Linked DNA regions of Lonchura striata. The main gene of each other region encodes a partner of the protein of the gene in region 2 in a complex. Links are inferred from orthologs where the notes say so. Each region holds a gene or a part of one and is shown on either strand. Other genes may lie near its edges.

The links. The genes of interacting proteins can lie anywhere in the genome.
Region 1: the proteins of RAB3IP (region 2) and RAB8A are in contact, whole or in part, in a crystal structure (PDB 4LHX), measured with the Homo sapiens proteins. The link is inferred for Lonchura striata from reciprocal best matches to the Homo sapiens genes RAB3IP and RAB8A. Residues at the interface, in NP_783322.1 of Homo sapiens: Ser199, Arg202, Asp203, Gly206, Leu209, Glu210, Thr213, Ala214, Phe217, Glu218, Ala220, His221, Val224, Asn228; in NP_005361.2 of Homo sapiens: Lys10, Phe33, Ser35, Thr36, Phe37, Ile43, Asp44, Phe45, Lys46, Ile47, Trp62, Ile73, Ala76, Tyr77, Arg79, Gly80.
Region 3: the proteins of RAB3IP (region 2) and RAB11A are in contact, whole or in part, in a crystal structure (PDB 4UJ5), measured with the Homo sapiens proteins. The link is inferred for Lonchura striata from reciprocal best matches to the Homo sapiens genes RAB3IP and RAB11A. Residues at the interface, in NP_783322.1 of Homo sapiens: Asn367, Thr368, Leu369, Ser370, Ile371, Glu372, Pro373, Asp412, Arg424, Thr428, Cys431, Asn432, Thr435, Tyr439, Leu444, Val445, Lys446, Gln447, Gln448; in NP_004654.1 of Homo sapiens: Phe36, Leu38, Glu39, Asp127, Leu128, Arg129, His130, Leu131, Arg132, Ala133, Pro135, Thr136, Leu156.

What each region holds. Positions count from the first base shown.
Region 1 is NC_134630.1:4,669,334-4,677,369, forward strand, and holds the start of RAB8A (ras-related protein Rab-8A), read right to left. Parts: upstream 3,010-8,036; 5' UTR 2,981-3,009; coding exon 2,857-2,980; intron 2,545-2,856; coding exon 2,484-2,544; intron 2,278-2,483; coding exon 2,217-2,277; intron 1,473-2,216; coding exon 1,395-1,472; intron 981-1,394; coding exon 891-980; intron 272-890; coding exon 206-271; intron 1-205. Other genes in the region: TPM4 (tropomyosin alpha-4 chain), read right to left, coding at 3,484-3,566, 5,149-5,218, 5,304-5,366, 5,646-5,721, 5,942-6,012, 6,435-6,552, 6,774-6,907. UniProt on the Homo sapiens protein: The small GTPases Rab are key regulators of intracellular membrane trafficking, from the formation of transport vesicles to their fusion with membranes.
Region 2 is NC_134607.1:44,681,746-44,689,198, reverse strand, and holds the start of RAB3IP (rab-3A-interacting protein), read right to left. Parts: upstream 3,064-7,453; 5' UTR 3,060-3,063; intron 2,942-3,059; exon of another isoform or gene 2,876-2,941; 5' UTR 2,835-2,875; intron 1-2,834. UniProt on the Homo sapiens protein: Guanine nucleotide exchange factor (GEF) which may activate RAB8A and RAB8B. Promotes the exchange of GDP to GTP, converting inactive GDP-bound Rab proteins into their active GTP-bound form.
Region 3 is NC_134613.1:22,382,760-22,389,958, reverse strand, and holds the start of RAB11A (ras-related protein Rab-11A), read right to left. Parts: upstream 3,010-7,199; 5' UTR 2,898-3,009; coding exon 2,858-2,897; intron 1-2,857. UniProt on the Homo sapiens protein: The small GTPases Rab are key regulators of intracellular membrane trafficking, from the formation of transport vesicles to their fusion with membranes.

The DNA.
Region 1 (8,036 bases), on a different chromosome or scaffold from region 2:
AGTATTTTCCTCTCTGCTCCAGGTTTCAATGCTCCTTCTCTAGCTCCACAACCTTCTTTCTGAGCCCCAAAGCCACACTGCCACCCCCAGCCAGGGTCTCTGCTGCAGGAAAGTGCTCAACAACCCAACCATGGAGTTCTGCATCCCACACTGCTGGTTTGCACAAAGAGGACAAGAAATACAAGAGAAAGGCAGCAGTACTTACATTCTCTATGTTTATATTTGCTTTTGCACTGGTCTCCATGAATTTAATCCCGAAACTTGCAGCAAGCTGAACAAAAGCATATTGCACATTATTGAACAATTGCAGGAACAGCTCCAAACACAGTCCTGGGCACAGCATCTGTCCCTGCTGCCACCAGCAGTGGAGTTGGGGATTTACTCATGCAGAACAAAAATTAGGAACTAAATCCCACTGCAGTTGGCATCTGTTCTCACTGTCTTTGCTCTGCTCTTTTACACTCTGCACACTTTTTAGGTTGCTCTTTTTCGTTTCTTGCATAGATACCTTGTCAGTCTTGTAACAACCACAGTGCAGAAAAAATCTCTGCCTCGCCTAAGTAACATCTGACATCAGAAAAGACAATCCCATCTACCTTGTCTCAGTGGCTTTCAGCCAAAACAGACATTTATCCATGTCCAACTCTAGCATCCTTTTAGAGAAGTCCTGCTGGTTGCCTTGCATCTGTTAGATAATTGATAAGAATACTTAACACAGGTTCTGCTGTTGATGCCAGTGGGGGAAAGCATTGCCATGGCAGCTTGGGGAATGCTCAGGCACTGCACTCAGGAACACCACAGGGGTACCATGGCACGTGCAGACAGTCAGCAGGCCAGGTTTTGGACTCTGAAAAGCCTAAGTCAAAATACATCAAAGCCACGGCACTTACCTTCTCCCCTTGCTCTCTAGAGACTTGTCTTTTGTCATTTGCATCACATTTGTTCCCCAGGATCATTTTTTCAACGTCTGGAGAAGCGTGCTGAGACAAACACAGACCAGAAACTCAGGCTTGGCTTTTGTAGACAAACATTGTCAGACAGGTGAGGCACCCACTGAGTACCCAACACAGAGATGCCAGTCCTGAGAATCTTCCCCAGATTTCCAGGCTCCCCCAACCCTTCTTCCCAGGATGTAACCTGCACCATGGCAATTCTTGGATCAATTGTTGTGGTAGGAAATTGTCACATTAGGTGCCCTCAGAAGTACAGGGGCTACAGCCCTCACAACAAAGCACTGTCAGCCAAGGCATTCCAAAAGCTTTTACTGATTTCCATCCCACTTATCTTCCAAGTTCCCTGCAGCACATGAGAAAATGTAATGCTTCTGAAGCAATTATTTTCATGGGAAGAAATGACACCTTTAACAGTCAGTAATAAGTAAAGAGAGAAATTACCTCTTCAATATTCCTCACCCAGTTCCGAATATTTTCAAAAGACTTTTCATTGGTGATGTCGTACACTAGCATAATGCCCTAAAGGTAAAGAAAGACTGTTTCAGCAGGAGTTAAAGGTTTATCCACAGCAGAGAGGAGCAACTCAACAGTGGCTATTTTTAATAACTGGTTCCCAGCTAATGGCAGTGAGATAAGGTGTGCAGGACATGTATTTATAGAGTGAAACATGGAGGAAGCTGCCTTTCCAAAGTCCCAGATCATCCCAGTGTGGGAAATGGATTCGTAGAGAGTTCTCAGGGCCTGACAGAAAGCTCACACATAATGCAAACTTTGAGATAAGAAATGCTGACTTAGAAATACTATAGAATAGAATATTGTTGAGAGAGAAATTGAGCTAGAAAAAAGTTTCAAAATATGGTTTTGTAAATAAGACTAGATACTTTGGAGAAATAGAATTAAAGAAAATATATTGTAGTGGGACCTGTGAGAGGTAGTTTTAGATGATTGGTTTTAATGTATCTACAACACGGTGTGGTAAAAAGTTGGGAAGCCAAGAAACACTTATAGTGCATTGTAATGAGGAAATAGTTGGCTTCTGATTGTGATGGTGTGAATTATAACATCTGTATTGTCTCACCCTTCTCATGAGACTGAAATGAAATGAAAGTTTTTGAAACACCGCTCAGTTACCCCATCTCTAAGTCAAGAAAATGGTATTATCCAACATCCCAGCACAGCTCCAGCAGCACTTGGAGCAGAGCTGTGAGTGTTCTGTGTCAGAGCCAGCTGGGTTTGTCCCCCCTGTCCCCGAGCTGCCCCTACCATGGCTCCCCTGTAGTAGGCGGTGGTGATGGTCCGGAACCGCTCCTGCCCAGCTGTGTCCCTGCAACAGACACAACACGGGGCTCAGTTCCAGTTAACACCACAAAAGCCTTCAGTTAATTTGAAGCACTCTTCAGAGCTGCCTTTTGGCTTCTAAAACACCATAAACCACAGAGCAGCACAACCGCATAGGAACCGAACCGAACCTCCCCACGCACAGCACACAGCCCCAGCGATCAGACGCTGACTGCAGCACAGGAGCCTTACCAGATCTGCAGCTTGATTCTCTTGCCATCGAGCTCTATCGTTCTAATTTTAAAGTCGATTCCTGAAAGGAAAACCAATTTCTTTACTCCCAGCTCCCGCCCAACGGCCAAATCCAAGGCTTTGCCCTCAATCCCGCTGCTCGGTGTGGCGTCCCTCAGTGCTCCCTCCCGGCACCGGCCGCTCCGGGGAGGTCTGGCGCCGGCCCGGTCTGGAGTGTCCCGCCACGGCTGCGAGCCCGGCGGAGAGCCCCGAGCCCGGCGGAGAGCCCCGAGCCCGGCGGAGAGCCCCGAGCCCCGGGCCCGCCCGCGGCTCCCGCGGCCCGAGCCCCGAGCGGGACGCGGCCCGGCGGGGATGGCGGCCGGGCGGCGCTCACCGATGGTGGAGATGAAGGTGGCGTTGAAGGCGTCCTCGGAGAAGCGGAAGAGCGCGCAGGTCTTGCCCACGCCCGAGTCGCCGATCAGCAGCAGCTTGAACAGGTAATCGTAGGTCTTCGCCATGTTGGTGGGCCCCGCCCGCCACGCGCTCATTGGCCCAGCCCGGCGGAGAGCGCACGGAGCCGGCCCGCCATTGGCTGGCGGACCTGAGACGGATGTAAGCGGCGCTGCGATTGGCTATCGGCCCCCCCCTCCGGTGTCCCGTCATTTCCCGGCGGTAACACAATGACGTCATCCCGTACCTGCCCGCACCGTGACGTCACACCCCCAGCGGTACAAGAATCCTCAAGAAGCCGCGGTACTGTGAGAAATTGTTTAATAAGAAACGGCAGCGGGGGCGGCGCCGCTCGGGTGCAGCTCCCACCGGGGCTTACACCAAAGGACAGAGGAACCGTGAGAGCAGCCACGGCCCCGGCACGGCCGCGCGGCTCCCCGGCCCCCAGGGATGCCCGGGGCCCGCGGTGCGGCTGTGCCGGGCATAACTTAAGTGGCTTGTCCGGGATACAGAGAGAGAGGGGAAGGAGCGAGGCAGGGGCAGGTGGCGCCTGCTGGCAGCGCTGAGCCACTCATATACAGTTCAGTTCGTTTAGTGTCTGGTCCAGTGTCTGGTGCAAGCCCAGGTTCTCCTCTTTGGCTTGAGCAAGTTTTTCTGGTGAGAAAGGAGAAAAGCACAAGATTTAAATAATGTTATTTTCTAGCCTTTTTGCTTTAAATAAAACCTGGGGTAACTTACCTTCATATTTAAGACACTTTTATATCATCAAAACAGGGCCATTTTTTTTGTAATTGCTATCCCTAAGGGAGTTTTTTGGACACATCTCATGGAACATGTCAGACCTGTGTTTTAATGTGTCACTGTGTCATTTATAGGCCACATCCTGCTGGCTTTTCCTTGGAGTGAGAGGTTTTTAACCAGGCTGGTGGAGTACGAGCAGACACTGAGTGCACTCAAAGCTTTTCACTGACTAAAGGGAACACCAAAATTCAAGTGTTTGCCCCATCCTGACCATGTCTTGCCCAACCCCACACGAGCAGCTGTGTGGCGAGCACATTTCTCTCCCTCTCAGGATTTTTCATAGAGGTGCACAGAGAGAAATGAAAGAGAAAACAATTTCTATTTCTGCTCCTTGTTTTTCCTATTTGGAACGTGTTTGGAGAATTGTTTACCTGGGGTGAGATCTTGGTTGGATTCTGTGAGGATTGTTTGAGCCTGGTGGCCAATCCAACCCACCTGGGGCTGCACTCTCAGAGAGGGTCACGAGTTGTGAGAGAGTTAGAGTCAGAGAAAGTAGTATGGAGTTTTAGTATCCTGCTTTTATATAGCATATTAATGTATTTTAACATAGTTATAATAAAGAAATCATTCAGCCTTCTAAATTGAGTCAGACATTGTAATTTCTTCCCATTGGGTTCGCCTACATTAACAATACAGCTGAATGTGTTTTTGGTGTTGCCACCACTGTATTTGAGGTGATCTACACAGAAGTAAACCCTGCAAGATGAAAAGTAGAGGTATCATGTTTTATTGAGCTCAGTTCCCAGAGGTGGAAGTGGCACAGGAGTGACAGGGATTACAGGCAAGAAAAGCTTGAGAAAACACAGTGAGCGGAAGGCCGTGTCCCCACGCAGGGGCGGGTCACAAAGAGGTCATGTCGTTGAGGGCATGGTCCAGCTCCTCACTGATGGCTTTGTACTTCAGCTTCTGAGCATAGAGCTCGTCTGTCAGCACCAGGGCAGCAGGAACAGGCAGCAAGAAATGCAGGCAAGAGAAGAGGCCACAGGAGGAGAACGGAGACAGGCAAAAGCAACAGCAGCCAAAGCAGTTGGGGAGGAAAACAAAAGAAGAAAACAGAAGCGTAGTTGAGTATCAGAAGGAAAGCAAAACACCCGCCAAGCTGCCTGGTCAGAAGTTTCACCTATGTGAACTTTTTGTCTTTTTGTAATCTCATTATTGTTTTCAGATTAAGTAGGGTGGGGATCGTGAGCCCTTGAGTCCCTCCATCTGTTAGTTGGCCAAAATCAGGTCATTGTTACCAACTTTATGGAAGAAAACCTTTTTCAGGAGAACTTCCACCACACAGGGCAGGTGCCCAGTGGACACATCACACCCATCCACCAATATGCCTGACCAATGCTGCTGTTCTTTCCCGTTACATCCACCACCCAACTCCTAGAATTTGTTTTCTGATTTTAAACTGACCACCTTTAAAGAAACTTGACTCATTCCATACCTTCCAGGTCATCAATAGACTTTTCCAGTTTGGCAACAGTTCTCTCTGCAAATTCTGCACGAGTTTCAGCCTAAAAAAGTTGAAACAGCATCACTGGATGCTCCTAGAAAGATTATGCCCTAAGATGCATCCAGCATGGGGGTGGCCAAACTTACTTCTTTCAGCTTGTCAGAGAGAATCTTGATTTCTTCTTCATATTTATCTTCTTTTTCCGAGTACTGTGAAAACAATAAACACTCTTTAAGGGAAATTGTAGCAACAATAATAAATGTTTATGAAACTGTGACCTATTTATAAGCACTCTTCCTTTTACAACAGCTGCAAACACCATTTCCGTGCTTTTCTGCTCTCCTGCAGACCTTCAGGATTGTTTGGAGTGGTATCCACAGGCAGGCAGGTAAACCTCTCATCTGCTTTTTATTTCTGGTTTATTTCTGTGAATTCTATTTACAAGTTTAGGCTTTGCCCATATCCTTTAGTTTACTGAAAGAACCAACCTTTTCAGATTGAGCTTCCAAAGATTTCAGGTTGTTTGTGACGTTCTTTAACTCCTCTTCGAGGTCACTGCATTTACTAGAAGGAGAAAATAGAAGTATGAATTACTGGTGTTCCTGTTATGATTTGGAGGAGTCTAAGAAATACAAGGGAGGAAGTAATTAAGTGTGAAAGAAGAAAACCAGGTATGCAGTGTGCAAACAGACTTTTCTGCAAGTACTAACTACATGCCTGCCTACCAGATTATTTTTATTGAAATGTAGTGTTGGTATTTCCTATATTCTAGAAAGTTACTCACACTTCAGACACCTCTGCACGCTCCTCAGCTCTTTCCAGTTCACCCTCCAAAATAACCAGTTTACGGGCAACCTGTAAAAAGACAACAGCCAGTTGTCAGGCCAGTGTGCAATTTGCAAAATCACAGCACGGCCTGGGTTGGGAGGGACCTCAAAAATCATCTAGTTCCACCCCCTGCCACAGCCTGGGACAACTTCCTTGCAGATTTCAGAAAGCACTCAGAAGTACTCTGTTCCTGCTTCCTCTGGAGTAAGGAAATTAGGTTAAAGCATGCACCCACAGAGGTAACAGCCCTCCCCAATTAGTTAGATTTTGCAGTATTTTTTGCATTAGGTACCTAAGGAGTGCAAATCACTATTAAAATTCCTCCTTGCTGGCAATGTTGCAAGGTTGAAGCATCGCCCAGTGCCAACTGAACAGAGGGACTAGACTGAAGAGCAGTGTTACTGTTCATGGCTCTCCCACAGCTTTCACCATTTCCTTCTCCCTTTTACCTCCTCATACTTGCGGTCGGCTTCTTCAGCAATGTGCTTGGCCTCCTTCAACTGCATTTCCTGAATTTCCATTTTCTCTTCATCTTTCATTGCTCTGTTCTCAATAACCTTCATTCCTCTGCAGAAATCAAAGCATGTTTAACTGAGAAGTATTTTGGCACTTGTATCTCAACTTCACAAAGTGGAATTTGAGATTTGTAGCCTAAAAGTGACCCATCGTGTTCATCAAGGCTAACAGAATTACCCAATCAAGCTTGTAAAAAAGTTTCAAGTCTCTGCCCTGCAGTAGCACATGCAGATACTTAATGACACACAACAGAAAATAAAAAAGGAGCGTACCTCTCGCTCTCATCTGCTGCTTTCTCAGCCTCCTCCAGTTTCTGCAGGGCTGTGGCCAGTCGTTCCTGGGCACGATCCAACTCCTCTTCCACGAGCTGGATGCGTCTGTTCAGAGCTGCCACCTCCCCTTCAGCCTGCGTGGAACCAGAGCAGGGTCACACAGGGCACTTGCTGCTGGCACATGCCCCCAGTGAATCAGTTTCCCTACAACTTCAGCAGCATCTCCCTGGGACATGCAGGGCAGCTCAGGGGCCCTTCTGCCTCTGCTTTTTTGTTTGCTTAAACTCTGGCATTTCAGGAATGTCAAGGTATGGAGTGTGTGCTTGTCCTTTCTTTTTTTAATGGCACTTATCATTCCTGCCACACAAAAAGGAAATCTACATGATTGCAAAAGGATCGGGGTATTTTTGGAGCACTTCACAGGGCTGCATCTATTCAAATTCAAAAAATGAACTGTTTCCACGATGGCTTAGTTCCAAAACCTTCACCGTTGGTTTCTCTGCCCTTGGTTTCAGTGGCGCCCTGTCACAGCTCGCTGTGAAGCTGGAGCCAGCTCCTGATCCATCCTGGCTGCCGGAGAATCTACGTGGTCAGCTGGGCACAGACACTGACCTCAGGCTTTTTTGGGACAAAATCAGATATATTCTTAAAATATATCTGATTTTTGCTGATATAACTTTGCTTCCTGTGGTACATAAGGGATTAGGCAGGGCGCATTTCTCAGTAATAAGATCTGTTTGTGTATTGCTGAATAAACTGCACAGTAATTGGAACACCACTAATGTGTATAAGAAATAGACTAGTTAATAAAAGGAAGATACTGCTGGGAGAAATGCGATACAGACAACATGGACAAACTGGTGTCCATAAATATGTGTTTATTAAGATTCAACTCCTTTAATTGCTTGTTTTTGAAGGAAAATAGAGCCCTGCTTTAGTAACTGCCAGGCTTGTGCACTATATTGTCCCCCAGTCTAAGGAGGATTGCCATATACAGGATTAACTTTTTTTTTCCCAAACACTTTTGTGGAATACAGACTCTGGAGGGGCAACTGTTTTATGCTTTATGTTAAAACACTTTGGAAAAAAAAAAAGCGTTTTGCTGCAGCTTAGCAAATTTGGTCACTGACCACTCCTAAGCTGGAGGAAGTGGTTTCCATTCACTTCTGAGCCATCTTGGAAAGGAGTTCAGCGGCTGATCCAAATGGAAGCTGACCCAGGATTCCTCTAGTCAGAAATTATCCAACATTTAATCTGTTTTAA
Region 2 (7,453 bases):
AAATTAGGTAAAACAGTAAGGTATAAGTTCGGCAAGTTTACAGAATTTAACAGCTAGCAGAAACACTCTTGGTTTAACGTGAGAATATTTTTCTACGGCATTCCCTCTACTGTTGTCATATAATACTATGATGTGAATCTGTTTTTACTCTCACTTTACGCATTGAAAACACTATTCTGCACTGTTTTAAAAGAAACATAGTCTACTTTGGATTTTATGAAGTTACAAGGATTTTTGTTTTGATGAAGTGATGACAAAAAAATCTTTTTAAACTTTATTTTAGATATATCTTCAACTAGAAAAATATAGGTACAGACAGCAAGTGTCTCTTACAGAAACAAGCAGCACACAAGATTCAATGACCTATATTTATGAAGTGTTTGTGAAACTTATATATAAAAATGGTTTAGGGTTTGGTAGATAGTACACCTCTTACTACAGTGAAAAGTCAGTGCTTTGCAAAGGCAAAGAATACCACAAACTTTCATTGTAAACAAACATTCAAAGAATGCTGTTCTGTTCACAAAGACTCTCAAACCAAGTTAATTAAAATGAAAATACGATTCTCTTTGCAGTTCCTGGTCCTTTTAAAGCAAAGCATTGTTCTGCCTTATCTTGGAAACAATTTTACTAGCCCATCTCAGGTTTAAACCTGATCACAATGACTGTAGTGTCGTTCTTGCCAAGACTTGGACCTAAAGACCCTCTTGCTTTCACTTAACACTGAAAATATTCAGTAAGTAAACTTAAACTTCAGTAAAATTACCATTAATTTCCTGACACTGTAACTGCAAATGCATTTAAAAAAGTATTTTCTTAATTTATTAAAAAATGGTTACCGTATTAGTGCTAATGAAGTCTCTAATACAAGTCTTGACAAGTTACATTAAGACAATATTTTACGTGCCTTATTAAAAAGGGTCTTAAAAATAAAAATCCAAAGTACACATCTCTTTTCTGAAAAAATCCATAAACCTAAGTGGAACAGTGAGTGACCATCTCATTTGGTATTTTACATGAATTTTTAAACCAAATCAATAAAAGCTATGAAGAAAGCTGCAGTCTATAATCAAAATGCTTCTTGTGACTGTTCTGTTGTCCTACGGAAAAAAAATTCCCCTTTTAAATATAGCATAACAAGATGGATATTCCAGTCGCAGCTGTGAGGTGCACTCCCATTTGTTATTTATTAAAAGCATAATGAGAACAGTAAATTATTTATCCTTCTTTGCTCACTAGGTAACATTAACCAAGCACAACGGATGAATGACTGCCAAGAGACAAATACAGAAGGCCAAACTTTAACCCTTCCAAAAACTCATTAAGATTCTATAATAGAAACATCAATAAAAATATTAAAAAAACAAGATTTCAGGCTTTTCCCTACAGTGAGAAATACAAATATTTGAACAGATGGTAGCTGCCAATACATACATCTAGTGTGAATAACCTTACATCTGCTTCAAAAGAGAAGCTGATAGTTTCAGTTACAGCAAGTCTATACATGATTAATTATTTTATCTATTTAGATAACTGTTTCGAGACTTCCTACGAACATACTTAAAAAGGAATGCAGCAAATAAAGCAAGCAACATAAAACTTAGTATACAATCTGCAAACAAAATAGACAACATTTTCAAACTTATAAAAACACTGTAGCTTTTTGTCAGCAAGACAAACACTGAGGGTATCATTAAGGCTTTAGTCACTATGTTCTCCTACTTCTAAAGCCCTGCGACCCTCGGGGAATTAATAAAGCATTAGCAGTCGGGCACCACAAATTTCTGCATAGCTCATCGCTTGTATCAACTTGTACCAAAATTTACTTTCTGAGCCTTACTGTCCAACATAACTACATTAGAAAATAAAGCTAAGTCAAATATGCTACTTAACTACTTCAACTTATTGGCGACTAAGTATGGCCCTCAATATTGTTCGACAGACCACAAAGCAACCACAAAAGCTAGAGGCCAGCGCAGTCCCACAGCGCAGAACGCCACTGCTGTCCCTACCCACGCTGCTCTGGGACCCCTCGAGGGAGGCGAAATCTGCGAGCTCCACCAGGGGCCCTGCCCGGCCTCCCCCCGCCGCTTTCGGCGCTCTCCCGATCCGCACCTGCCGCCCCGCCGGCCGAGAGCTCCGTGAGCGGAGGCGAAGCGTGCGGCACTTGCTCAGCTTCTCGCATCCCTCCTCTCCTCGTCTCGGCCGCCGCCGCCGAGCCGCCCCTCCCCTCTGGCCCCGCACAGGCACTACCTGGGGAGCCGCTCCGACCCGCCGGCCCGGGGACGCCGCGGCTCTCCGTCCGCCGCCGCGGCTCTCCGTCCGCCGCCGCGGCTCTCCGTCCGCCGCCGCGGCTCTCCGTCCGCCGCCGCGGCTCTCCGTCCGCCGCCGCGGCTCTCCGTCCGCCGCCGCGGCTCTCCGTCCGCCGCCGCTGCCACCCCGGGGCAGGTACTTCCCGGGCCGATCCCCACTGCTGCGCAGTTCTGCCTTCGGCCGCGGCTGGACTCGCGGACGAGCGCATCTCTGCCGCCGACTGCCCCTTCTGTGCCCACGCAAGCCCCGACGGACCCGGGGCCCCCCTCCCGCCGCAGACGGGCACAGCGGCGTGGCCCGGGCCGTCCCCTGTCCCCGCGTTCTTCCAGGCAAGTCCCACAGCCAGCCCGCGCCCGCTCACGGCGCCCCGGCTAGGGGCAGCGCTCCCCGGCGGCGCCTGCTCCGCCCGCCTGGGCGCAGGCAGCCGGAGACGCGCCGGGGGGCAGGTGCAGCAGCACTAGCGGGGAGCCACCCCACGCTGCCATGGCGGGGCCGGGGCCGCGCAGCCCCGCCGCACGTACCTGCCGAGCCTCGAGAGAGGAGCGGCCGCCGCCGCCGCCGCGTCCCCTCAGCCGACCTGCGGGGCCGGGCCGCGCATGCGCGGCGCAGCGCAGCGCCCGCAGCGGGGCGGGGGCAGGGGGCAGGTGCGCGCGGCCCCGCTGCCGCCCCCTAGCGGCGGGGCGGGGTGACTCCGTGAGGGGAGCGGGGCGGGGGCGGGAGGAGGAGCGGCCGCGCCCGCGGGTCTGCGCGTCCCCTGGGCCAGAGTTAAATCCCGGCAGCGCTGCCGAACTCTGAGCGCTCTGTGCCGTGAAAAACACGAGGAAGTTAATAGTTCTGTGTTTAGTTGTATGCAGTAACAAAGGCGCAAGATTGTGCAATTAAAAAGGAGAAAATTAAAAATATGCCAAGTGGTTATCCACCAATTTTCATTCATGGGGCATGCACTGCTCCAAATCAGCTTCCAAGCCTCCCTAATGTATTTATAATTTCATAATTAAAGGTTGAACTGTGCACACAAAATTTCTGAAATGAGGCCACATACAGAGCTATAAAAGGCCTCACTTGCTATGGATAGGTGTTTTTCCAGCTCCAGTAGTTTGATTAAGAGCAATTACTATCGTGTCTCATCTAGGCTTGCCCTAAGTTGTCCCCATTGCCACCCTGACACAAGCATGGTACTTAGTGCACTTGAAGTCCTGGTCTGTACTGTTCTGCATGTCCTATGTCTTAAAGGTGATAGGCAAAATGTTATAAAGCTGCTATAAATAAGACTCCATTTCACCACTGGTCTGATTACAGTGCCAAAAAATATGCTTCAAATGACAGCAGTATTAGCTGGACCATGTACTTTCCTTGCTGTTAGTGCAGCTGAACAGAATTATGTGCTGCATGGTGAAGAACTTGAGCAAAAACTAAGATAACCAAGACCTTGTCCCATTCATCAGTTAAGGAATCTAGGCTGAATTCCAGTCAATAATTGAAACTTTAATTATCTTGACAGCTTTCCACTGAATGTGAAAGAATCCTGTTTGGCCAGTCCTGCAGGACATAGCCACAGACAAATAATAGTCTCTGTGGCACATTCCCCATGGCATCTACCAAGCAAAAAGGTCATTGAGAGCAAAAGAATATGACAAAGATGACGTCAAAAGGCAACTATATCAATGCCATTCCTCATAAAGTAAATACAGTACCTTTAAATACTAATATCTTCTAAATTACTTTCCCATATGTAGATCTACATTGACTACAATGGGGCTCAGGCAGAAAAATGGCTACAGAAAATCTTCATCTATAACTTTTCTGGAAGTAATCTGAATACCAAGAAACCAAAGTGCAAGAAGGGAATGTTCAAACAGCAGTATAATTTGAAGTTTGTTGTAAAAAAACTAAAAGAGCAGAGATGTAGAAGGACCTTGAACTTCAAATTATTTAATTTGCTAATATTGACATGAAATAGAATCCAGACAGTGCTATAAGAATACAGGTTTGACAAATTAGAAGATGCATCAGAAATTTATTAAAAACATGATTGCAAAATAAATGACAAGTGGAATCAGAAGTTAAAAACAACCTATTAAGACATAGTTAACCAACAAGAGTCTATAATTAGGATCTGTAATCCTATAGTTCTTAATCCTGTACAATGACTGTGCTTGGCATGACAATCTGCTGTTTTAACCAGATTAGACATCTTGCATTTCAAGAAATAAAAACAATACAGTCCCAAAGACATTTGACTGCTAAAATTAAGCACCAACTGATTTATTTTGTCAAAGTACTCCTGTATTTTGCTGTGTGTAATAATCTGAAGAGTCAGGCAGCAACAAATCACAGAAAACATAATTTACATGGTTAGATTAAAAGCTAAAATAAATAAATAAATAGAATTAAATCCAGAGTCTTAAATAAGAGGAGTCTTTTGCATGGGGCTGGGGGAAAAGAAAAAGATATAAGAGTATTTTTATCCACCCCTTTGCTCCTCCCTGAGCTGCACATCAGTGTCAGGGCAGAGCTACTCCTCCAGGCATTATGGACTGAGAGCCATGGTCACCAATGAAGGCACAGCCAAGAGCAGAGCAAGGGGGCAATAGCAACAAGATTTGCCATACACCAGTGACCATCACTCAAGTGAGATGTCAAATCAAGTCCAGGATCCATTCAGGAGGCAGTACTGGAGACATGCATGACCTGTGTGCAGACCTACACCTGTAATGTAGGTCTGAGGCTCATCCAAGGAAGAATCATCCAAGACAGACTCACACAAGACAGAGTATGGTTTGTCTGTTTGTTTTGAGCTCCATAGTGTGGTTAAATGCCCCAGCGCAGTCCCATTCTCCAGCTGAACACTGAATAGGTATCTTGGCACAGACTTGGCTGAAGCAATCTATATAGTGAAAACTGAGTCTTGACTTGTGTAGCTTTTCTCCAAGTCATACTGATGGAAGGTGTGATAAAAATCACTGCAAACACTTCCTGCACTGCACAGAGTTCCCTTGAACTGCAGCTCTGTCTGTCAATGTTTTCTGTCACATGTGAAAAATCTCTCTGAGTCTGTATCTTCAAATGTGCTTGTTTCCTTTCCTAATAGTTACAGTCCACTTGACCTAAGAAACCTATTTCAGGTTTCTAGGAGAAAACAGAAGAGACAAAACTGTTTTGCAGAAGGTAGTCCCAGTCCATGGCAGAGCTCTTTGTTGAAGGCAAGGATTGCTGCAGGACTTTAGAAAATACAAGTGTGTAGTTTTGCTCTGATCTGAATTTCTCATCTCTATACAAAGCACAAATGCCAGCTAATGTAATTTTCCCCCCTATAGGTTGGGAGGAATAAAAGAAAGAGATGGTTGTTCTCTTTGTAGAAAAATCTTAAGTTGTTTAGTAGGGGATGATATCCCAGCAATGTCATGGATAAATAAAGCAAATAAAATTTGAAATCTCACTTTCTACTCATTTTCTCACTTTCTGTTTGCCTTTCTTCTGCCTTACTTATCTTACTTTTTTTTTTTAATATTGAATGAACTGTACTTATTACCTCTCTTCTTGTCAAGATGTTACAAAACAATAAACTCAGGAGAGCCAAAGAATAAATCTATTGATAGTAGTCACACATGCATTGAATCCTCATAGTACAGTGAAAAAAAACCCCGAAGAATGATTCACTATATACAAAGAAAGGTACAGAGACTGTCTTTAGCAATTTTCCCCCCCACTTTTCTACTAGCTCAGGTAAACCAGTGCTAGCAGCACTGGGAACTATAAATCCCCACTCAGGCATATTTCTTCAGTGTTAAGCTAAGCATTTGGAAAGCAAATCCAATTGGTATTTTGGTATAAATGAGCTTCCAGCTTATTGGAGCCCTAAAACTTATCTCTGTGCTGCCCTGCCTGTCCAACTAATAGAATGTTAAAACTGGTGAGGTCTGTGTTATCTTTTAAATCTATACACTAAAACAAGGCCCAGAATAACAGAAAATAAGCAGGAGTGATATTAACTGCTCCTGAAGCTCTTTCTCAAAACTTCCAATGGTGAAAGACAGAACAGCCTCCCTAAGCAGTGCATTCCAGTGCTGAACTAACCTTGGAGTTACAAATATCTTCCAAAGTCTAACCTCATCTCCTGTGCTGCAGTGTAGAAGAGGTAATGAGCTTATCTCAGTGAATACAGGAAGTAGCAATCTTCAGGGCATTTGATAGCATCATCTACACCCTCAATTTTATCAAAGAATAAATAATTATTTTAATATTTCCTCTAAGGTGATGTTTTTTAGACCTCAAATTGTTTTTTCTTGTACTTGCTGCGTTTCTTCCTGTGGGTCTTTGTCAGTACAGTGCACAATTCCAAGAACAGCAGTCTAGCTGATGTCTGACCAGCACAGGCTTTAAGATATCACACATTTGCTTATGCATCCCACAAACAATCCTTTGCTTATTCTCTTTTGGCAGCAGAACGCTGCTAGCCAGTCCTTCTTCAGCTTGTGTATGACCTTACTTGTGAATTTTCTTCTATGTCCATGGATTGTTTCTGAATTCTAACCTTGTTCTGAAAAATGTTTGACCCTTCACATCTAGCAGATTTGATGTGTGCTGTCTATTCCATCAGCCAAGTCCTTAATTAAAATACTGCATGTTATCAGATCCAGAATGATCCTCTGAGCTGAGATGTTCCTCTTAAAAAATTTACTTTCTAAAAACATGGTTTGAGCGGGGTTTTCACACCCATCTTGTATTGTTTTTACAGTAGTTTATGCTGAACAGCATGCCCCTCCCTTTCTTATGAGGTGTCACAGGAGGGAATTTCAAAAACCTTAGCAAACTCTATCTGTATCACATATATTGATTCTTTCCTATTTGTCTTCAAATGATGTGTTCAAATCATGCAACAAATATGTTGCAGCATCAAAACCTCAAACTGCTTTATAGTCTTCACCTCTGTTACCAATGTTACCAACTCTGTTGTCTGTGCACTAAATTAATGTCAGAAACAAGAGCTTAAAATGATGTCTAAAAAGGAAATACTCATTAAAGCCATGTACTCATTAACTGAAAGTCAAGGTTTGAATATTAAAAAATATAAACTTGGTAAATTATTTTATACACAGCATATATCTATACACAACTGGCAGAACTCACTGACACAGTA
Region 3 (7,199 bases), on a different chromosome or scaffold from region 2:
CTCCTACTAAAATGAGAGCAAGATTTATATGAACTGTACTTCATAGGCCTTGTGTTTCCTCAGGGGCCATTCTGGGAACAGCAGGCACTGCTCTCAGCCAGACCGTGAAAGTATGGAAGAATACAAAGACTGGAAGCTGGACGAGAAGAATTTAACAGAAACTGTTTTTTATCAAGCTAGGTTTAGTCCTTCCTATATGCTGAAGTGTTGCAACACAGTCAGGAGAAGTGTATTTTGTAACAGGTCCCTGGATTTTACTGTACAGCAGCACAGGTGGGCTCAGCTTTCACCCAGCAGCAGAGTCAACCAGATTTCAACACACAGCTGCAGTCAGGACAAAACCAGAGGTCTCACAAACAGAAACGTGGCAGTTCAGCCCAGGAACAGTAAAAAACAGCCAGACTAGAGAAGATCACATGATTGTTTTAACCAGGTTAAACTCTGAACTCAGTCCCACCAACCGACCCATACAGTCCCTTAAGAAACTCAGAAATGTCCTGCTGGATGAAGTGTCCTGACAGGCCAACACCCAGAGTCTGACTCCAAATAACTGATGTCCAAAAACCCTGATGTGCATCACAGCAAACAGGCTAATCTCTGTCCTAGCCAGCCCCTGCATCTTCAAATAAGCAATGCCTTCAGACTTGCCATCGTAACTGTCACACTGACACACCCCAAACAAGATTTTTTGCTTCTATGAATTTGTGCAGGCTTTCAAATCCATTTACAATATGCATGGCAATGCATCACTCCAAAATTTGCATACACACCTGAGGGATTTTGTCCATTTGCTTTCACCCGCTACCCAATAAAAGAAGCATTACAGATATCCAGAGAAATTACGACAAACAGGAGAAACTTACCCTATTTGCCCTTATCACTCACTGTTTAAATTTTAATCAAGCTGTACATCAATTGAGTATAAGGACTATGAATCCATTAGGTCTCTTTTCTGATCATTTTGATGCCTTTCTCCATCTTTTTAATTCTACAACATCCCTTTCAAAATGGTTATGTCTGTCATGGCTACACATCACCTCAATTCCCAAGAAGCTCATGTCTCAAATTCAAGCACTGACTTAACGCTCTCCCCAAGTTCCCACTTCCTTTTCCAAAATATTTACCTATATTTACCCCTAGCCTTTTTGACCAGTGCCTGGCAAAAGACATTCAGTTCAGAGATCTCCTTGCAGTAATTTCCAGATCATTCCAGAGTGGTGACAGCTTGTTTAGAACCACCATCACCTCTGGGAAGTTACAAAAGTTTCCACAGTTTCATTATTCTGCATTTTTGTGTTATTTCAGCTGCCACATCAATCCCAGTTAAGTGACAGACATTGCATCAACTTCCTGCAGTCCACTTTAGGCTGGAAAAATCCAAATCATTTATTTTCACAACAGCATTTTGACAGCATTCCCTGCACCCTCAATGGCTTCCATAAACCAAGCTGAACAGAAAACGCTTTAGCAAAGGCAATCAATTAAATCAGCTTTGCACTTCTCTCTATAACTGGATTCCAACTTTATATTTTCCCAACTAGAAAAGGAAGCAGGCCAAATGAAAGATAGGAGCTCTCCCAATAAACTCTGTGTCACTGATATTCCCAGGCTTCCACAGCTAGAACATTAATTACAAGCCCACTGACAGAACTGCAAGAACAATGGGAATTCAATGGCTTTGATAACCTGTACCTACAACAACATTGCCTGATGCCATTAAAACAGTGGTCAGCAAGGTCCTTGCCAGGGCTGCAAGCTGAGAAAAGAGCTCATTCTGGACCTTCCTGATTTGCTTTCCATAACAGTACAGATGTCTGATTTATAGGTAGAAATAATGGCACTTTCCACATGCAACTGGACAAAACAGCCAACAACAACAAAAAAAATGTAATTCCTCAAAGTTATTACAGGAGCTTAAAGGTACAGAAAAAAACATCAATATTTTACCTTTGTGAGGACAAGCACAGGGTCTGCCACCATTAAAACACAAGTAATGCTCTTAATCCTAAATTCAAATTTACAATATCACATCACAATAAACAACTACTTTTTTACACTACTTTGCTTGCTTTTACAGTGGGATTTTAAAAACTGGATAGTCAACTTTCAAAATATCAGCACTTCTGTACACATTTCACAGCAGGCCACATGAACCTGTCCAGCAGGCCGGTGTTTTACTCTGCAGGGAGTGAAAATTGAATATTTAACAACAACCTGGGAGGTTTTAATCCGACTTGCCACCGCATCGCAGACTGCAGGGGCATCAGCCCTGGGAATGACGGCATTCCTGCCCTTCCCTGGGGGAGCCAGGACAGAGCAAGGCCAGGCTGGACGGGGCTTGGAGCAACCTGGGACAGTGGAAGGTGTCCCTGCCCATGGCAGGGGCTTGGAATGCGATCATCTTAAGGTCCCTTCCCACTCAAACCATTCCATGATTGCAGGAGGATTTTATGATCTCTGGGCGTGGAGCAGCAGGGACATTCCACTCCTCGCCATGGGCTCTGAACACAGAAGGCAGCAAGGAGTACTATTTGATTAAATGAGCGCATCATTTATCAATGCTGAGTATATCTCGCCCACTCTAAAGCTCTATTTAACAGCTGGAAAGGTTCTTGTCAACCTTGAGGAGTCCTTTTCAGCCCTGGGCATCCTTCCTGGCGATCTCTGCTCGCCACCCCGCAGACCGTGCCGGGGCGGCCTCGGGCGGGCGCTGGCACCAAATCCGCCGGCCCGGAGCTGGCATTGTGCGTGAGGGAGGGCCGGACACCCGAGCGGGGCCCGGCGGTGCCCGGAGCGCTCCCGCACCCGCCGGGCCGCGCCCGCGGGCCCCGCCGCTCTCCCGCCCTGCCCGCCTCACCTTTGAAGAGATAATCGTACTCGTCGTCGCGGGTGCCCATGGCGGGTGGCGGAGGAGCGGGACCGGGAGCGCAGCGGAGCGGGGCCGGACCCTCCCTGCAGCCGCCGCAGCTCTTCCGCCCTCCGCGCTCCGCCCGCCCGCCCACAGGCGCTTCCGGGGCAGCGGCGCCGCCGCACGACCGCGCCCGAGGCAGCGCCGCGGCCGCGCCCTCAGCGGGGCCCGGCGGGCGGGGGTCCCGCCCGGCCCCGGAGCCCCCAGCGCCGAGCCCCCTCCGCCGCCCTGAGGGAGCGGCCGCGCTGCGGCGGCGAGCGGCGCGAGGAACTAGGGGCAGCCGGGAGGGGGTGGTGGCAGAGCGGTTCCATGGTGTAATGGTTAGCACTCTGGACTCTGAATCCAGCGATCCGAGTTCAAATCTCGGTGGAACCTGAATCTTTTCTACCCCCAGTTCGCTTTTATTTCTTTTCGGCTTTGTGTGCCCAAACGATGCTCGGGCTTCTCTGAGGAGTCCCTGTGCCCAAAGGATGGATGGGCACACTGAGCTCTCCGGATCCCTGTACTCAATGCCCAGGCACGCTCCCTCCAGGATCTCTGAGCCTATTCCCAAAGGATGGATGGGCACACTGAGTTCCCCGGACTCCTGTACTCCTGTACAGCCCAGGCACAGTCCATCCAGGATCTCTGAGCCTATTCCCAAAGGATGGATGGGCACACTGAGCTCTCCGGATCCCTGTACTCAATGCCCAGGCACAGTCCATCCAGGATCTCTGAGCCTATTCCCAAAGGATGGATGGGTACACTGAGCTCTCCGGATTCCTGTACTCAATGCCCAGGCACGCTCCCTCCAGGATCTCTGAGCCTATTCCCAAAGGATGGATGGGCACACTGAGCTACCCGGAATCCTGTGCCCAAGTGATGGCTGGGCATGCTCCGAGCTCCCTGGGCCTCTTCACACACTGTGATAATCTCACCTCACCTCTTGCCTGGAGCCCACCAACTTTAACCCCCACCATGGGGTGGGTGCCCTTCTCCTGCCTCCATGGGCAGGCACTGGCTCATCCCAAAGCCACCCACTAGCACAGGGGAACTTGGGGTTGGTCGATGGGAAGTCCCCCAAGAAGATCCCTCCTGTGAACTGAGCTGAGAGAGTCATATGAGCTTGTGGAGGTATTAGAGAGGCCAACAAGCTCTTTCAGCTCATAAGGTGCAAAAAAGCCATGAGCACAGGCCCCTTTCCCACTGCCACACCTGCCCACCCTGCTTCTCCCTTCCCAAAAGGTGTCCGGTTCCCCTTGTCTCCCCTGTGCCATGGCAGACACCAACTTTGTCATCAGCTTCTCCTGGTGCAGGCTTGAGATACAAACAACAGAGGATAAAAATAGCACTTGTGTCCAGATGATTAAACAGAATCCCTTAAAACTGCTCTTTCCCACCAGCCTGCCCTCAGCAGCAGCGTGTTTGCCATCACTGCAGTCAGTGGCTGTGTCATCATTCCTGCGTGTGGAAAGTAACCCCCAGGCATCAGCAGCAGTGCTGTGCAGCAGTTACCGTCTGCTGGCACCATAACGAGCCAGAACGTGATCCTCTGCATTTAAAGAGAAATCTTTCATGCTGCCTCAGAGCTTCCAAGTGGGGAAAACAAACATTAATAACAAAGACACCTGAAGGGTGACTGCAGCGTGTCCCTCCACAGGTCACAGAGGCATCACAGTCTGGGCTCACCCACACCCTGCTGCCAGCCTCTGATGTGCCCTGCACCTCCAGCTCCTCACAGGGGGTAGTGTAGTGGTGAGGGCTATAGGCATCTGTGTTGGATTCATCCTTTTTATCTCCAGCTAAACCCAGAATACACAAAATTTTGAACCTGAAAATGCTCATCCAGCTCCTGCCTTTCTCAATCCCCCGGCATTGAGTAGTACATCAAATAGATAACAGATACTTGCCTGTGTAGAGGCTGGGTATATTTATAATTCAGGAGCTCAGGTTTCTATCTCATATCCTATTTGCACTTGTCCATTAAACTTTGTTGTTAAAAAGCTATTAATTTTCACTTGATGTTTCTCAGACCTGGTTTCATCCTCCAGAACTGCTTTTAGAGCTAAAAAGCCTTAAAATAACACAGATTAAGTACCTCTAGTTATTCTCCTGTAAGAGCTGTTCTCCTTTTCATGCTTTGGATTGTGTTTGTGAGCCTAGAAACACCCTTTATTTACATTTTTCATGTGTGCAAGCATTACTTCCTCTTGCATCACATTGCAGATGTTCCTCATCTGGAACTGACTTACCCTGTGCAAGAGTTTAGGGCACAGAGTGAGGACAGTGGCTCTTCTGGCTTAGGTAAAAATCACAATCCCCACACTGCTGCAGCACTGTCACTTGTTGAACTTGAGCCATTGTAAAGCAAAGACATTTTTACCATTGATTTTTTTTAGCAAAACATGACTAGTTGTGCAGATTGCTATGGAATTGGGCAGCAGCAGGGATTACTTCTAGCTAAGCCTGTTTGAATGCAATTGACATTTAAAATCAGATTCTTCACGGTGAAAACTGAAACAGTAGAAAGAGCTCTGTGTCTAAACAGGAATCAACAGAGCAGGACATGAGGAGAGCATTGAACTAGCAAGGAGCTCCAGAAATTAAAGTCTTATATCCTGTTCAGTTCTGGGTTAATTTTGTTGCTATTCAAGCCACAGAGGAGAATATCCAAAGCCTCAGGAAATGTCACTGTCAGCACAGGCTGGTTTGGGCTGCTCTGCTCTTTCCCTGTGTCCCCTCCCAGAGTGAATTGCTGCAGAGATGGGACGGCCTGGGACACCTGCTGTGCACAGGAAACACAGCCAGAAAGCAGAGGTCAGGCTGGAATAACAGAGACTGTGCTCTCCAACTGACAGCTTTTATTGTGAGAACAGTCACTCAGCACTGGCATTTCTGCTGCATTAATTGCCATTAGTGTCATCCTTGCAGGAACACTAAATTCATGGCAAACCTTGAATTAGCACGCTCTCATAATTCCTGACTTAGGCAGAACCATTTGCAGAGGCAGCACATCCCAAGCAACTGGAGCAGAGACAAGGGATGATACTCAGCTGGGCCTTGGCTGGTCAATTTAGCAAAGAAAGAAGCAGAGGTCACACTCATAACTGTGTATTTATGGGTCTGTTCTGGAAATTCCCAGAGCAGCTGCCAAAAAGAGCCCAGCACCATTAAGGTGCAGATGTGTGTCAGGGCTTCCAGGTCTCAGCTGCCCAGCCCCAGGCACTGTGCATCAAGATCTCCCTGCATCCAATTCTCACTTCATTCTCCACTTCCCTCTTCCCACCAACTCCTGAGATCCCCCAGAGTAATCCTGGCCTAATAAAGTGGAAAATTTACCACCAGCCTTGATGGGTGTGGCATTCCCACAACAAGGTCAAGATGTTTTTGCAGAGCACACTGGTGGTATTTGACATGGAAATGGCAGAATGTGAAACAGGGATGGCCAGTATTTGCTGCTGGTCCCAGCAAAAAAAGAAAAAGCTTTTCTGGCTCGGAAATCCCTGTTCACACTTTGCAAATCCATCTCTTTGCAAAGCTCAGAGAAGATTTGGGATTGGAAATCACAATAATTCAAAATTGTCCTTGAAGGGCTGTTGACCCAAATTCCCATTTCCTGGATAAAAGCAGCCCCTGGCTTTCCTGGGGCAGAAAGCAGGAAGGACAAAAGCAAAGGCCCAGAACTGTGTTTTATCAGAGGAGAAATATTTCCTAAGGGGAAAATTCAATCAATACTTTGCAATTTCCTAACAATCCATTAATCATTGCAATTATGCAGAGATAATTCAAGCTTTCGAATCCAGCTGCTAAATTAGAGACAAGCGTACTCTTAGCACGCACTATCCTCAGTTTCACATGTCAGTCAGAAAAAAACTCCTTCAAATATAAAATCTCTCCACAGAAATTTAAAGAAACCAATTATTTTTAGAAACCTAGACCAATTTAAAGGGTTTACAATGTACAAGGATTCTATTTTCCAGGTAATTCTATGCCACAGGTAGGAATAATGAAAATACATGGAGTTAATATGAATTTTTCTGCATTCCATCACCTGCTATGTCCTTTCTGATTTCTACAGCTTTAAGAAGAAAAGGTATAAGAAGAAATATACCAAATCAAAATTAATTTCAAAATTAGCCTTTCCTTTCCTAACCTTGAACTTGGAATAAAAAAAAAAGACCTGTATCTGAACATATTTTTTATCCAAAATCAAATCTAATTCTGGTTCTGTTGTTCTTTAGGAATCCCTGCAGCACTGCAGAAAGACTGGGAAGGGAACAGAAAAATTAACCATCTTCTGGAGACATTTTTT